3 linked regions of the Nothobranchius furzeri genome follow. The protein of the gene in region 3 interacts with the protein of the main gene of each other region in a pairwise test. Links are inferred from orthologs where the notes say so. Each region holds a gene or a part of one and is shown on either strand. Other genes may lie near its edges. The genes, in order: mif, gfer and bnipl.

Evidence for each region.
Region 1: the proteins of bnipl (region 3) and mif interact in a two-hybrid assay, tested with the Homo sapiens proteins (2 studies listed by BioGRID and IntAct). The link is inferred for Nothobranchius furzeri from reciprocal best matches to the Homo sapiens genes BNIPL and MIF.
Region 2: the proteins of bnipl (region 3) and gfer interact in a two-hybrid assay, tested with the Homo sapiens proteins (2 studies listed by BioGRID and IntAct). The link is inferred for Nothobranchius furzeri from reciprocal best matches to the Homo sapiens genes BNIPL and GFER.

The regions. Positions count from the first base shown.
Region 1 is NC_091741.1:91,260,804-91,266,163, forward strand, and holds mif (macrophage migration inhibitory factor), read right to left. Parts: upstream 3,490-5,360; 5' UTR 3,380-3,489; coding exon 3,272-3,379; intron 2,384-3,271; coding exon 2,211-2,383; intron 2,107-2,210; coding exon 2,040-2,106; 3' UTR 1,842-2,039; downstream 1-1,841.
Region 2 is NC_091752.1:63,793,208-63,798,013, reverse strand, and holds gfer (FAD-linked sulfhydryl oxidase ALR), read left to right. Parts: upstream 1-1,990; 5' UTR 1,991-2,133; coding exon 2,134-2,346; intron 2,347-2,537; coding exon 2,538-2,749; intron 2,750-2,838; coding exon 2,839-3,001; 3' UTR 3,002-3,077; downstream 3,078-4,806. Other genes in the region: drg2 (developmentally-regulated GTP-binding protein 2), read right to left, coding at 1,550-1,613; syngr3a (synaptogyrin-3a), read left to right, coding at 4,434-4,535.
Region 3 is NC_091745.1:58,857,604-58,863,159, forward strand, and holds part of bnipl (bcl-2/adenovirus E1B 19 kDa-interacting protein 2-like protein), read right to left. Parts: intron 3,801-5,556; coding exon 3,552-3,800; intron 3,480-3,551; coding exon 3,285-3,479; intron 3,183-3,284; coding exon 3,080-3,182; intron 2,972-3,079; coding exon 2,840-2,971; intron 2,394-2,839; coding exon 2,307-2,393; intron 1-2,306. UniProt on the Homo sapiens protein: May be a bridge molecule between BCL2 and ARHGAP1/CDC42 in promoting cell death.

The sequences.
Region 1 (5,360 bases), on a different chromosome or scaffold from region 3:
TGATTTCCACATAAATTATTTACATGCTTTGATATATTCGTCCCATCTTGAATGGCAAGGCAATTAAAAATAAGCTAATTACTCGTAATAAAATGCTAACAATTTGATAGGATTCATTTTATTTACAATATAGATTGTCAACTGTTACTGGTATTTTAAAATATAAATATATTTATAGATATTCTTTATAAAATGCCTTTTGTAAACAGTAAGTGTTTAATGTGCTGGTTAAAAACAACTTTCTTACCTTAGATAACTCCATTGCTAACACTAGCTCAGCTCTATTATGAAGAAGCAATGCTGCTCTGGTGTTGACTCTGCTTTTCCTGCGCGTGCACATTGGGAGGTGTGGCTTTCGGCTCTTTCAGGAAGGGCGGGGGAGTGAGCAACAGCCGTTTGAATTTAAAAATCTCCTCCTCCTCACCCTGACGGTGTCATCTTACGGACCATGCCTTTAAATGTATGAAACAATTTGGTTCCAGGGCAGTTCTACCATGCCGAGAAAACAGTACTTTGAAGTAGTTTTCTAAAATGCCCAACCACTACCTGACAAACATTTGTTATTTGAAGAGAAATAACAGTCTTCTGATTTATTTATTTGTTTTTTATAAAATAAGACTTTATTATTTATGCAAGCAATTCTTTAAAGGGGCATTATGGAAGTTTGACAGCCAAATAATGTATAGAAATAATAAATTTCTTCTTCATACATTCTCCTGCAATGCCCTGGTCCTGTAGAATGAGCCCTGGCATTTTTACTGTGATTGCCTGTTTTTCTGTAAAATCACAGAAAAAGAGAGATGCTCGGGTCGAGCAGGCTGCTTCATGCGCGTTCACGCTCAGGCATCGCCCGTAGCGTTTGCTGTCCGTAGCTTTAGCAGCAGAGAGAGAGGCAGTGCCAACTCAGCGACTTTGTCGCTGTTCCTCACGCCTAGTGATGAACCTAGCTACATTTCTGAGGACCCTTAGCTACTTTCTTCTAGATATTTCCTGCAAATTAGCAACAAAATAGCCATTTTCGCTCTGAACCATTCTTTGAACGTTGTTTCAGCTGTCAGCAAGGATATAAATATTACAGATACAAAAGATGTCATTGGTGCTATAGCGCACCTAGTAAGACAGCGGACTCTCGTGCGGAAGACCCGGGTTTGATTCTGGATGTGAACATAGATTATTTAGAGTTTATTTTTTACATTAATGGTATATTTTTTACAGTAAGATGCCCAAATTTTTATTTGAGACTCGCCGAACGGCATTGAATTCACAGATAAAACAGATGTGGGTTCAACTTTCATTTTGGAACAATTTTTCAAGGGAAGGGCATGATCTGAGCATGCAGGAGGACTGACCCATCTTAAACCTTTGTCGGCTGTGCTGAAGAGAAAGGTACAGAACCAAATTATTTAATTAATTGGCTACGCGTTCTCCTGTCCTCTGTCATCCGGGCCACACACACACACACACGGGACTGTCTCAGCTGTTATTTTCGTTAAGGAGTGTGCACGTACAGCATGCGCACCTCGTGCATGAGCCTACTATTGAAGCTGCCGTCACGCTTTTGGCCTGAGGGGGCAATCGCGAGCATAAACATTCAAAACTCCGTAAAGTCCCTTTTAAAGGTCCTATATCATGCAAAATCCATTGTTGAATGTTTGAAAGAGTGGGTTGTGAAAATAACTTCCATTTCACAAAAATGACATCTCAATAATGCCAATGGTAATATTTATCATATAGTGTGCCTACTATTGCTCTGTAAGGTGTGAAATAGCTGCATGCAGGTCCTTTAAATATGATAAAGTTTCTGAATAGGAGGGCTTACTGACCCAAACAGAAGATATTCATTAATTGTTTCACGTGATTTTCTTTATTCGTTTAATTGCAAAAGGGTCAGTACATAGCAAGGGGGTCCAATCAAGTGCATTTAAGGTACCCCTACAGTATTACCTGGATAACAAAGTGTCTCAGCTCTTTGCTTTATTTACCCTAATACAAGTAGGAAAACACTGGAATGATCTTTTATTTCAGTCTTGACCTCCATCCTAGCCAAAAGTGGTGTTGTTCCAGGCCACATTGGCTGCATCCATGTCCACAAAATTGATATAAATTCTAAAACAGACACCAGAAGAAAGAGGTTAATGAGCAATGAATAGAGGTTGTGTGTTTGATCAAGTCCTACAAAGAGGATCAGCATGCTGATGGGCTACTGTTACCTGTCAGCGGAGACTCCCAGGTGTTTGTTGAGCAACCCACACAGTAGTTTTGAGTACTGCTTGTTCTGGGCGCCACTGATCTTGCCGATGCTGTGGAGGGAGCACAGAGCGCAGGGGTCTCCCTTTCCACCAAACATCATCATTTGGTCAGGGTTAATATTCACAGCAATGTACTGAAGAAAGATGAAGGGAAAAAAGCAATATTAAGTGTCAAACCTAAGTGAGTGAACAAGTCAACAGTTCTTGAAGCAAAGACAAATATTTTTCCATTGTACCTTTACTAATAAGTCTCCAAAAATATTTGTCTGTACAATTTTTTTCCATATTGATGGAATTTAGTCTTTTATATTGAAAGATTTACAACAGCGCTATTTGTAACATTCACTTTTCTGTAGATTTAGCTTTGTTGAAGTCTGTCATTCAAAATCTTGCTTTAAAAATGTTATACTGTACTTTGCTATCGTTTCCCTCAGAATTTTATTTTTTTTCTTAAGATTTCTTTATAATTAATATTTAGATTTTTGAACCTTTAAGTATTTCTGTGTTGAGTTGTTTTGGTGTTTATTTTAATCTTAGTCTTTATTTTTCTCCTGTTGTGGATGTGGCAAAAACATTGCCTCAAAAAAAGGAGGGATTTTCTTTTCTATTAGTGTTTATTTTCGTTTACTTTAAAACTATTTTATGTTATTATGTTCTTTATCCTTTTGAGTTTAGGTGTTTTTTTAATGCTCATCCCACTCTGAAGTAATTTTATTTATTCTTTGTAATTCACTTTATCCATCTTGCATCTGGGAAATTTGGACCAGTGATATATAATCCAGATTAATTCATGTAATTATTTTCAACTATGCAAACTGATCCAAACTGATGAGCCGCTTCCGTCCCTGCAGGTAATCTCTAATGTTATATTAGCATTTTGACAAACATTCTTTCATAATGGATATTATTTAGTATGGTACTGATGTGATTTAGTATATATATCGTTCCATATATAATCAAATGCATCATGGTAAATGATCTGCAGGGTTATAATGGTCTGAAGGAACATCTTCCTGACCTACCTGAGCAGGTTTACCCATCGCTTTAGCTAACTCCTCCGTAGCCTCGGACAGCAGAGCCGCAGGCACGTTGCTTTTAGCCACGTTGGTGTTCACCACAAACATCGGCATGATTGCTTTTTATTTCTTCTCTCCAGCTCAAGCTGCAGACGTTCTTCGTCTCTTTCCAGATCGTAAAGAAGCCACGAGAATGACCTCTTCCTCCTCCTTAAAAATGAAAAACTAATTGACCACAGCGCCACCTCTCATCCTGGAGGACACATGGCAACAAATTTTTAGGCCACATTAGGTCACCAACCTGAAGCTGAGAGCTACTTTCAGGGTTGTGACTGAGCGTTAACCAAGTTTGATACAATAGTGAAAATTTGTGAATTTTGGATTAAAAAGAAATCCTAAGCCTAACCCTAACCCAAATCCAAATCTAAATCATTGATTGGATCAGAAAGCTGGTCTTTAATAGAAACATAAACATTTTAAGGGAAGTTTGCACTTTTGTTGTTAAGAACTTTTTTAATTGCAATTTATCAAAGTTTGTTTTTAACTTTTTTGTCGGTTTTTTTGTTTTTGAAGTACCTTTTTCTTTGTATTGATTAAAAAAGTACATAATAATATACAAATATATAACCTTTGAACTAGAATAGATCAGAGTTAAACTAAAATGTATTTACTATAAACATATTTAAATATTTGTAAAGAAACATGTAGGTTTTAAATCTATAATAATGCATTTGCGATTTTAAAAGATGGCAGCAGGTTTGGAGAAAAGGCCTGTGGGCACCAGATTGGTAAATCCCTTCTTTACACATTTACAAAAGCAAATATGTTCTGACCATCTACATATATACTGGACAATTCATTTCCATAGGCTCCAATAACACGTTTTTGTGCAAAAATGGGAGGTGGCCACCACCGCCATTTTGACCGTGTCACAGGTTCCTTCAAGCCCAGACAATTCTACAAAAGGGAAGAGAGGTGGAGCTGAGGGTGTGGCTGTAAGGCTGGGATCAACTGACGACACCCGGTCGAACTAGCTACAAGCTAACCCAAAGCTAACGCAGAGGTGGGAGCTAAGCTAACGGAGGTAGCAACCTAGCTACAACCGGAGTTAATTGTGCACAACACCAGAGCTTCTGAGTCAGAGATACGCCGGGCTGACCGCTGGGTAAAACCGGGTGGAACACAGAGGTCTCCCGAAAGCTGCTGGAAGCCAGCAGCCCACGCAGCAGACAGAAGCCGCGATTAGACAGAGATGCGCAGAGCTGCGGGGAGGGGAAAAACGGGTGGAAAACATCGGTCTCCCTAGAGCTCCACAAGCCGATAGTCGGAACCCAGCTCCACCAACATGTTATATTTCAACCCATTTTCTATAGTGCAGCATTATCACAATGTAGTTGTGAGCCTGTGTGTGTATTTGTTAGCGGCTCCGCCCTCTCGGTCTGCTAGGCTACAGCATTTGTTGCATTTTTCAAACAGGAAGTGGGAGTGGAGTAAGAATCTGGTAGGGGATGACTCATTCTGAGTTATTTAATAAAAACAGTACAAGTGAAAGATGGAGAATGTCACTAAAAATTATTAAATACTTTGGCTGCAGATCAAACTACGACTCAAAATTCCAGTTTTTCATATTGACCACATCCAGAAAGTCATATTTTAGTTATTTGTTTTTTATGAATTTTCCTTCTGTTCTCATTTTCCTCATATCCTCCTCCATCCCAGCTGGCATCTGAGTTTTAACTGTTGGTTTTGCAGGCAGGGGGTGAGTCACACAGCTGGTGACTTTGAGTTAGGAGTGATTTTAATAACTAAATTCACTTGAAATGATTTTCTTCATTGTCTCTGCAACACAATCTTTCAGACTGAGGTGATGACTTTTTTTAGTGAAGCCTGGAACAAAGATCTATGAGTTTTAATTCCCTCATTTACAAAGTGTGGAACTCTGTCAAACAACTTTTATCTCAGACCTTTAAATCTGACAAACTTTTTCCTGATATTTATTCAGACGTCTGCAAGTGGGCCAGTACGCAACAACAGGCATCACCGTATGGGATGCCAATAAATTGCAGGTGCAAATTGTTTAGCAGACTTTTTTTTA
Region 2 (4,806 bases), on a different chromosome or scaffold from region 3:
CTTGCTAAACTAAAAGCTAGATGATTAACTGTAAACCTCAGGCCAGAGGCTTCCAAGACTCATGCAGTGGGCGTCATTTGGAATCCTAAGATGTCCAAGGAAGGTACCGTCTTTCTCACCTACGATTGGCTATTTCATGTAAGAGGAAACTGCAGGTTTTTATATTTACAGACAGACCTTGAGGAATTTTTATTCTTTTTTTTAAAGAAAATGGAACTCATTGCTATAATAAACATCCTTTCCTGTTTAGCAACAAACCAGTTTCAGTTTCTTTCATAAAGAATCTGAAAAACATCAAATGTGAACTTGTAATCAATGTTGTTGTATTTTATCAATACTGACTTCTGTTGGAGTTTTCTCTCATTACTTAATTATTAGGCTATCCTACTTTATTAGGTTACGGCTGTTTACACATTAGAGCACATCTCTCATCAGATTAAATGTGTGTCATTTAATCAAAAATTAAATTAAAGCTGATTATGATTTAGACCTCTTTTTCACCAGTTTTTATTAAGAAACAGACCTGATGCACACAGCTGGGCAGAATAGAGCAGTTTTATCAAATTTCATACCCAGGTAAGGCACATATGTTTATCCTATGTACTCTAATGCTTGAGAGCCAAGAGACATAAAGGAAGTCCAACAGTTTGATAAATGCAACTAGATTATAAATTCACATTTTACGTTTTTCATTCAATGTGAAATATTTTGCAAAACAGGACAGAATGGTTATTATAGCGCTAAGCTCACATTTTCTTTACTAAACCCCCAAAACAGCTTTCTGCTGGTGGCATAATAGTAAAAATAATAATAATAATAATCTGGTTTGCTGCTAAACGAAATAGCCAATCATAGTTCGTAGAGCCTTTCTAGCCAATCAGAGGCGAAAAAGGTGGGATCTTCCTTGGACATCCTAGGATTCCAAATGACGCATCCAGTGGTATTGCGAGGATTCGTTTTTCTGTCAGAGTGAAGGCAACAACAACTGCTGCCACCTAGCAGATGGAGTTTGAATTGCACCACACAAAAGAATTAGTGAAAGTTTGCATGAAAATTGTCAATAAAAGAACTGAAACACTGCTTTCAAATATCGATTCAGTATCATAACAAAACATCGCGATTTCTCTGGGTATCGGTGTTTTCTTACATCTCTACAGTGGACTATAGTAAACACTCAAAACCCATGAGATAAAATATTGTTTAAAAACACATTTGTGGCTTACGTTTTACGTTGACATAAAAATGAAAACAAACAACCCTTTAAAATAATTACAGTGTGTTTACACCTTAATAAAAAATTAAACTTAGCTTGATTACATGTCTGTAAATAAAGGCTACCCAACCAAGACAAAACTATTATTACTTTGCAGGAATAAAGTCAGATTAGCTCTGTCCTTATTTGGACATAATAATTTAACACCAACACCTGACACACACACACCGCCACTTATTTGCCATTGTGACCCCACAAACGTAGTAAAACAAGTCCAAAACACACCAACTTTGCCTGTTCTGTAGCTACCAGTTAGCTTCGCGGCTACACTGTTACCTTTATTCTTCTGTGTCCGAGAAATCTCTCTTTCGATTTCGGCGATTTTCTCCAGAATGCCCATGTTGGTGGTGCAGGTGAGATGCAGCTACTCTGTCGGGGAGACAAAATCCAACAGAAACGTGTCACCTCACTGCTGCTAGCTTTGTTAGCCGCCCGGCTAGCCTGCAAACAAGTCAAACTTAACGGTTAACAAACCGCATCAATAGTCGTCCACGAAAAGGCTTACATAATGAAATTTACGTCAGAATAAACCCTGAACATTGTCAATTATTTTATTCGTTAAATAGATAAAGAAATTTACTTTGACAGAAGGTTCAATCAGCCGCGCACGCAGACTGCAAACCGGAACACGGTTCGTCGCTATAAAACGTTCGGGTGAAACAAGGAAACGCAAGAATAACCAAACGGACCCTCTAACGAATTACACTGTGGAGTTATGACTAAATACACGTGATTTAGTTAACAGTATAACCCAGTTATGCTTCCAGTCGTAGCTAGTTTCATTCCAGTTTACAGACATTTTTAATATTTACTAATACTCGAGGTCAATTAGATAAATATTAACTCAGCAGGAGAGAAACATGGCTGCGCCTGCTGGTGCCGCTGAATCGTCAGGCGCCAGCCCGCCGGGGTTCGAAGGTTTCCCCTTCCCGGTGAGCAGCAGACCACAGGAGGACAGCTCCGGTAAAGGGCATGAACAATCCGGGGATGCAAGGAAGAAGCCATGTAGAGCCTGTACGGATTTTAAATCGTGGGTGAAGCTACAGAAACGGCAGGATGCTGATGCTGCTCAGGTGACATGACGTTTTAAGTTAATTAAAAAGGGTTTTAATCTGTTTGAAGGGCTTTAACGTGTTTCTCTGTCCCATATGTTTATTTGTTACCAATTTAGTGTTAGTAAACTGTTATTTATAGTGTAAATCTCACCCGATCCTATTATTTTATGACCTTTGTCTCTTTTGTGTGTTGAAATCTGAACCCACAGGAAACTCGTCCTGCAGAAAATGTGAGACCAGATCCCCAGTGTCCACTGGAGAGGGATGAGTTGGGCAGATGCACCTGGTCCTTTCTGCACACCATGGCCGCGTATTACCCAGACCGTCCGTCTTCCAGCCAGCAGCAGGACATGGGGCAGTTCATCAACCTGTTCTCCAGGTTCTTCCCTTGTGAAGAATGTGCAGAAGATCTCAGAGACCGGTCCGTCCATTTTACCCAGGTTTCAGATCCAATAAGTTACTCTTCTGTACAAATGCTGGAGGCCAACTATGTCCATGTGCTTCCCGCAGATTAAAAACCAAACAGCCGGACACGAGCAGCCGCTACGCTCTGTCTCAGTGGTTCTGCCATCTTCACAACGACATCAACGTCCGGCTGGGAAAACCCGAGTTTGATTGTTCACGTGTGGATGAGAGGTGGAGAGATGGATGGAAAGATGGAACCTGTGACTAAGTGTTTGTATTAAAAGTTATGTCACTAAGAGTTTATTTAATAAGTATGATCGCAAAATAAAAAGGAATTAAATGAATAATGTTTTGTCATTTTTTGGTTAAAATAGGGTCAGAGCTGGCCCAAGGCATACCTGAGTTAAGCAAATGTTTGGGATCCCCATGAGCATCAAGATAGTGGGAAAAATGTTTTAATAGCTTTAAGTTATATAAACACAATTATATCCCATGTGGAAAATGTATTATTTTCTATAATGTAATTTGGTTTTAGCTTTAAGTGATTTCGCATTTCATACATCTGCTCCAAATTTTAATGCCAAAATACTTGAATTGTTGAAGCTCACACTACTAAAAGTAAAGCAGAATTTTTTTTCTAGAAGTGTATTTTTTTATCGTCACAAAACCAAAACAGTGATTCCATCACTACCAAACAACTAGTGATACCACCTTAACTGGCATTTAACCACTTAATCAGTGTGCCATGTTGTTTCCTCACATCCTTAACTAGTTTTATTCTTTCTATGTGTTTTATATATAATTCAAACAAATATATTATTATGTAGTCGTACAATTATTGATATAATGTATATGACTGATATTTTATAATGGTAATACTTATTGTTACAAATATTATTTTATAAGTCCTTTTCAAACTTTCGTCTTTTTCTTTTCTAATAATTTTCTGCAAAAGTGCACCGTAATGTGACGCACATAAAATGTGCTTTCTCTTGTCTCATTTAACGACGAGAAACCTTTATATATATTTTTTTCATTTAAGTTTATAAAAGGAAAGAAAATGTTGCTAAAGGAAAAGCTACATTGGTTTATTCTGAAGTGGATGTGAATTTAGAATTTGCCACCAGGGGGCAGTGATGTGTTCCAGTGGAGAGTCTTCTTTTTCAAAAAGAACACATCAGAAAATAGCCAAAATTTCACAATATTGGAAAATTGGCACAAACTCTTTGCAGGTGTTTTGGATTAATTAGCTGAGAGAGTATCCAATTGGCTAGCACCATCTTTGTTTTGGGGGTAGACAAGGCAAAGTAGTTTAATTTATGCGGCACGTTTCTTTATGCATAAGAAGATTTGAAAAAGTACTAAGTTAAACGCTGAGTAGTTACAGCACAGACAGTCGGTTGATGAAAAATTTCGTCTTCGGTTTTGATTTAAAACAGGTCTCTTTCTATCAGTTTCAAGCACAGTCAGTAGAAAATATTTTCATTTTATTTAATGTACTTGGCTTAAATAAATACTTCCCATACCGCACTCACGTTTTGCGCTAAAATGTTCGCACTGCGTGTCCTACCCTTGCTCGTGCGCTCGCCACCGGGAGCGCGCAGGACCCGTCCCTACAGCAGCGCATCCATCCTGCCGCGGGGTCCGGGAGCGTGGAGGAGCGCACACTCACTCACACACAGAGGGAGAGACACTGAAAGATGGACGGAGTGGGATCGTTCGGAGCGGGCCGATCCGGGTCCACTATCGACCCGATTACATTCGCCAAACAGCCGCAGACCATCCTGAGAGCGCTGTCCTGGGTGAGTTGCGTTTTTATCTGGCTGTGTGGGTTCGCGCGCGCTAAGGATGTGACCTGCTCTCCGTCCGTGTAAATACAAACGCTGATAAGCGGGGTGTCAACACCTAAAATGTGGGCTGGGTTTTGTGTATTTAGAAGGAAACATGCCCGGGGTGTCACCAGGCCCGCTGCTGGGCGCACACCACGTTACTTATACAGATGTTTCTCAGGGCACGCGCCCAGCCGTTATCACCTGCTAGCTTAATATTCCCAGGTTAGCTCCATCGCTGTTA
Region 3 (5,556 bases):
GAGATGAACGGAAGTTTAGAGATGGGTCTGAAGCTGCTATGGAGAGGGGTCAAGACTCGTTTTTTTAAGAAGAGGGTGGATTACAGCATTCTTAAAGTAAGCAGTGGATCGGCGCACCTGTCAGGCTTCCTTAAAATGGCTCCTTTCAACAAGAATTAGCCAACAGGCAGGCTGATATTTGTTTGATACAATGAAAATTTATTTGGGATAATTTAAATGTTTCCATTAAACGTTCCCCTTAGATCTGGATCATTGCAGCAACCCCTAAACTTCATGCAGCTGTTTTGGATGCATCAAAGATTATTGCCTTTTTCCTCTTTGCCTCCATCAGACCATTTTGTTTTGTGATTGTTTTTTTATATGAGCGGTGATCGTTCCGTGGCTCAGCAGCTCACTAGTGGAAAGGCAATAAAATGCTTTTCTCTGCCTACATCACCTGCACAAGCACCTCTATTTCAGTTTCAGTTGCCATGGTTACCTCTGAAAGGCCATCTATCCGCCATCTTATATATAGTTGGATGCAAAAGTTTGGGCAGCCTTGTTAATATTCGTGATTTTCCTGTATAAATCGTTGGTTGTTACGATAACAGCTTCCAGTTGCATATATCATGTTGGAAATACACTCAATGATATTTGAGAAGTGAAACGAAGTTTATAGGAGTCACAGAAAGTAAGAGATTTCAGCTTCTGTTTCCACAGTTAGGAACATATTGAGGAAACGGAAGATCACAGACACAGTTCAAGTTAACCCTTACCTCACATTAGAGCATTTTTTTGTGCTCGAATGGCTTTAACGTTAGAAAATTTAAACGTTGGGTAAGGGTTAAGGCTCAAAGTGGCAGAATAAGAAAAATCTCAGATAAACAGAAGTGAAGAATGACGTGAACAGTAAGAGTTGACTGCACCAGCACCAGCACCAAAGACCTGCTACATCATCTTGCTGCAGATGGAGTCACTGTGCTTCATTGAACTATTTGGTGCACTTTACACAAGGAGATGCTGCACGTGAGAGTGATGCAGGGGAAGCCTTTTCTCCACCCACAGCACAAACAGCAGCTTCAGGTAAAGCACATCTGAACAAGCCAGCTTCATTCTGGAATAAGGTGCTGTGGACTGATGAAACTAACATTGAGTTATTTGGACATAACAAGGGGTGTTATGCATGGAGGAAAAATTACACAGCATTCCAAGAAAATCACCTGCTACCTACAGTAAAACATGGTGGTGGTTCCATCATGCTGTGGGACTGTAACCAGTGCAGGGACTGGGAATCCTGTTAAAGTTGAGGAACTCATGGATTCCACTCAATATCAGCAGATTCTGGAGACCAATGTCCAGGAATCAGTGACAAAGCTGAAGCTGCACCGGGGCTGGATCTTTCAACAAGACAATGACCCTAAATGCTGCTCAACATCTACTAAAGCATTCATGCAGAAGAACAAGTAGAACATTCCAGAATGGCCATCTCCCCAGACCAGAATATTATTGAAAATCTGTGGTGTGAGTCACAAGCCATCACACCTGAATGAACTAGAGATGTTTTGTAAAAAATGGCCCAAAATACCTTCAACAAGAATCCAGACTCTCATTGGAAGCTATAGGAAGCATTTAGAGGCTGTTCTTTCTGCAAAAGGAAGATCTACTAAGTATCGAGATAAATTTTTTTTGGTGCCCAAATGTATGCACCTGCACACTTAGTTTCACCACTGAAATATCACTGAGTGTGTCTTCTATATGATATATTTAACAGTTTTTTTTATCAAACCAACCAACAATTAATATAGGAAAATCATTTAAATTAACAATGCTGCCCAAACTTTGCATCCCACTGTATATGCAGAGTGCTTTTCATTGACCATTTATGGCAGAAAGTAGGTGTCTTGGAGGTGAGATATAATCCAAAATCACCTGAGTACGTTTCTAGGAAGAGTGTGGTTTATAAAGCAGGAATTGTGTGTGGTTGTGCATAAGCAGTGTTTTATAGATCTGAAAAAGAGTTTGCACAGGTATTGTTTTGCTGAGCTTAAGTGGAATTTTAGTAAGGATTCTATGTAAAGTTTTGTAAACGAGGCCCTGGTTTCTACACATGGCTGACTTTATCCTGTCCTAATCAGTAGATAACTGGGCCTCCAGCCACTGATGAAAGAGACATTACAAAAACACCCTTTCTGGATGTGTGCCTCAGACATCACCTCTGAATTTCTTGTGAAAATAGCTGCAAGTATGGTGGGTGCAGCTGTATTATTGCAATGTTGCTATGTGTGTGTGTGTGTGTGTGTGTGTGTGTGTGTGTGAGTTCTTCAGACCTGATGAAGGGTTTGACCACTGTTATTATAGCTTTGATGTACCAAGCAGGATGAACCACTAGCAGTCCCTTCAGGTCCTTCTTCAACCTATACAGACAAGACACTGATGTCACTACTGTTGCCATGCATATGGGATGTAATCTCTGGCACTTTTCCCCTAGCTCCTACTCAGCACAGCTCGACTTAGCACTGCTCTACTTTACAAGTTTTGGGTCGTTTTCCATTACAACTGAAAATCAACTCTAGTAGGTTTTTTTGCCATAGAGTCCAAAAGGTAGTGTGAGGTTATTTGACCACAACACAAAACAATGCAAAAATGGAGGACGTGGTAGCGACTTCCTTCTGCTAAACCACAGATCTGTTACTAGTGGAAATGCCTTGGAACTTTGCAGAGCTGAGTCAAGCTGCACTGAGTAGGCACTAGTGGAAAAGGACCATAATAACATAGTAACAGTTTCTAAGCAGACAAGTTAAAGGATCCTGGGTCAGAACTCCACCCGACAGGGCTGCACTACTTAGAGAAATGTTCATACCTTCTGTCGATGGAGGTATAGCATTGATGAAGCCATTTGATGGCTGGCAGTTTGTTTCTGGGAGCCATGGCACACAGGTAAACCAGCACATAGTTCTCTGAAACCATTAAGTCCAATGTCCCAATAATGTACCTGTTAACAGAGGCAAACACGGTGGTACTTCTGAGTTCAGGCGTTTCACTAGATCTGTCATTTCATGCTCTTGTGTCATCCCTTTTCTTACTACAAATCCAAACCCACCTAAATAGGTTGTCCATGACATAGTCATAGTTCTCCACTGTGCTCTCTGGCAAGTAACAAGAAGTGAAAAGGATGATAGCGTTCATCCCGTCTCCATAATAGCCTAAGAAAAAAACAAGACATTTGACTTTGAACCTGTGCACAGTGCACACCTGAGTTTTAGGTATGTTCCAGATGTGTTCATGGTGTGCATGGCATCTCTAACCTCCATGTGATAACACCTGCAGGTATGGCTCCAGAACGCTCATGTTGACCCGGTATTCATACCCTGAGATGCAGAACTTCCTCCAACGGCGCCCTTTGCTGTCCACCTGGTCTAGCTCCATCAGACCCTCAGAGTGCTCCACTGGGCTACTGGCCACACCCACAGCCCCACCCTTCTCCATCTGGGGGAGGTCATCTGTAAGAAATAGATCATAGGTCAGCTAAAAACAGGAGGAGTTTTCCCAACTTAGCCTCCATGTTTTCTCACCTTCCCACTCGAGTTCATGCATGCTATCTGGTAGTGTTCCTGTTTCACTGCCCGATGGTGTCTCCAGAGCTTCCAGGTTTATGTCAAGTGATGGTGTGTCATCTGGTGTCCCTGACAATGCTGCTGCCGAGAAGCTGTCAGTCTTGTCATGTGAGTCAGTGTGACTCAGAGTGAGGTTAAGAGCTGGGGCCGCCAGACGCTTTTTAGCCCCCCTCTCACCTGTACACAAGGCCAGACTGGTAGACGGTGCTGAGGGAGAGTAGAGGTCAGAAGTCAATTTATGGAAAACATGACTCAAGCAGTGGCACCCCCAAGGGATGGCCAGTGGAGGCCATGGCCCCCTTAAAAATTTGTTGGCTACCACTCTAAAGTGAAAGGGGAGGGGCTACAGTCTGATAAGCTTTTGTCCACTTTCAATATCATTTTTTATAGCACTTCATTTAAACCAGGGTTGCTCCAAAAAGATTTGAAGTAACTTATAAGACTTCTACACACACTACAGGAACAGAAGGATCAAGATATTGATCTAACTGGAGTCAAATGCCAAAGAGCATAAATGGAGGAGATTTTTAGAAATGACCATGGTCCTGAGCTGATCTAATGTGAAGAGGCAGGTTGTTTCAGAGATTAATGGCAGCAACTGCAAAAGCACGGCCACCTCTGTTCAATAATCAGGAACAGTGAAGTGCATCTTCCTATTTGAGCTAGAAAGAGAGCAGAGAAGTAGAAGGTAATGGTCATAAGGTGGGGACAGACCGAGAAGCACCTTGAACTCAAGCAATAACCCCTTGAAGATAATTCTGTACTGGATAGGGAGCCAATAGAGTGAAGCCAGCACCAGTATTATGTGTTCATGCTTTTTTTTGTACCTGTAAGGAGATGAGTTACAGCATTTTGTATGACCTAATGTCCCTGGTGGAGGGAGGACTGACTTCAGTCTTTATATAAGGAATTGCAAATAGATGAGTTTTTCAAAATCATTGGGAAAGAAGCTGGTATTTGTCTGGGATGAAAGAAACTAACTAACTAACCAAACTGATTTGCTTGTCAAAATAAGGGAGGAGTCGAATGTGACTCCATGTTTTTCATAGAGAAACGACTGAATGGTGTTAAAGGGAGTACTTGCCCTAACCCTATCAACAAGATGACTTCTGTTGTATTTTTGTTAATATGTAGAAACACTAAGTGTATGAGCAAGTCACCGTAATAGAAAATACATCTGAACATCATCAGCGAAGCAGTGGAACTGCCTATTTTCTGAAGATAAATCCAAATGGCAACATGTATAATTGTCATGTTCTGCGGGTGGAGGTGGCAGACCATGTGTGGTGGTGGTTTCCAGGAGGCAGAAGATCAGGCAGACGGATGAAAAATAAAAAGATGTTTAATTGTAGACTGGGAGCAACAGGACGAACGAACATGCACAAACGACAATGAACCGACAAAGACAGCAACAAGGAGGGAGCTATAATTACACAAGGGAATCAGGAACTCATGGGCAGAGTAATCAGGGACAGGTGAGAACAATTAGGCTAATAAGGGCAGGAGAGACACAGTCAGGGAGGCCGGGTGGATCATGACAATAATGAGAACATGAGAGGGTCAAGAATTAAACCCTGAGGAACTTCACATATCAGAGGCGCTTGGTCTGAGGAACACTGATCTATCTGAACAGAGACGGTTCCTCTGTTAAAGGCAGTTCCTCTGATACCTACCTAGTGTGTGAGTTGAGACAGGAGAGAGTCATGATTGGTGACAAAAGCAGCACTTAGTTCTAAGAGGATCGAGACAGCAGAATTTCATGAATGAGCAGGCAGAAGGATGTTGTAGTGCTGTTTCTGTTGACAAAATTAACCCAGACTGAAATTTCTATCAGAAAATCTTACAACTGATTCTGGGTTATTTTCTCCAGGATCTTGAGCCAGAAACGTGGTTTGGAAATGGGGTGGGAGTTTGCCAGAACAAAGCTGTTTAGATCTCTCTTTTTAATAAGAGGTTGCACCAC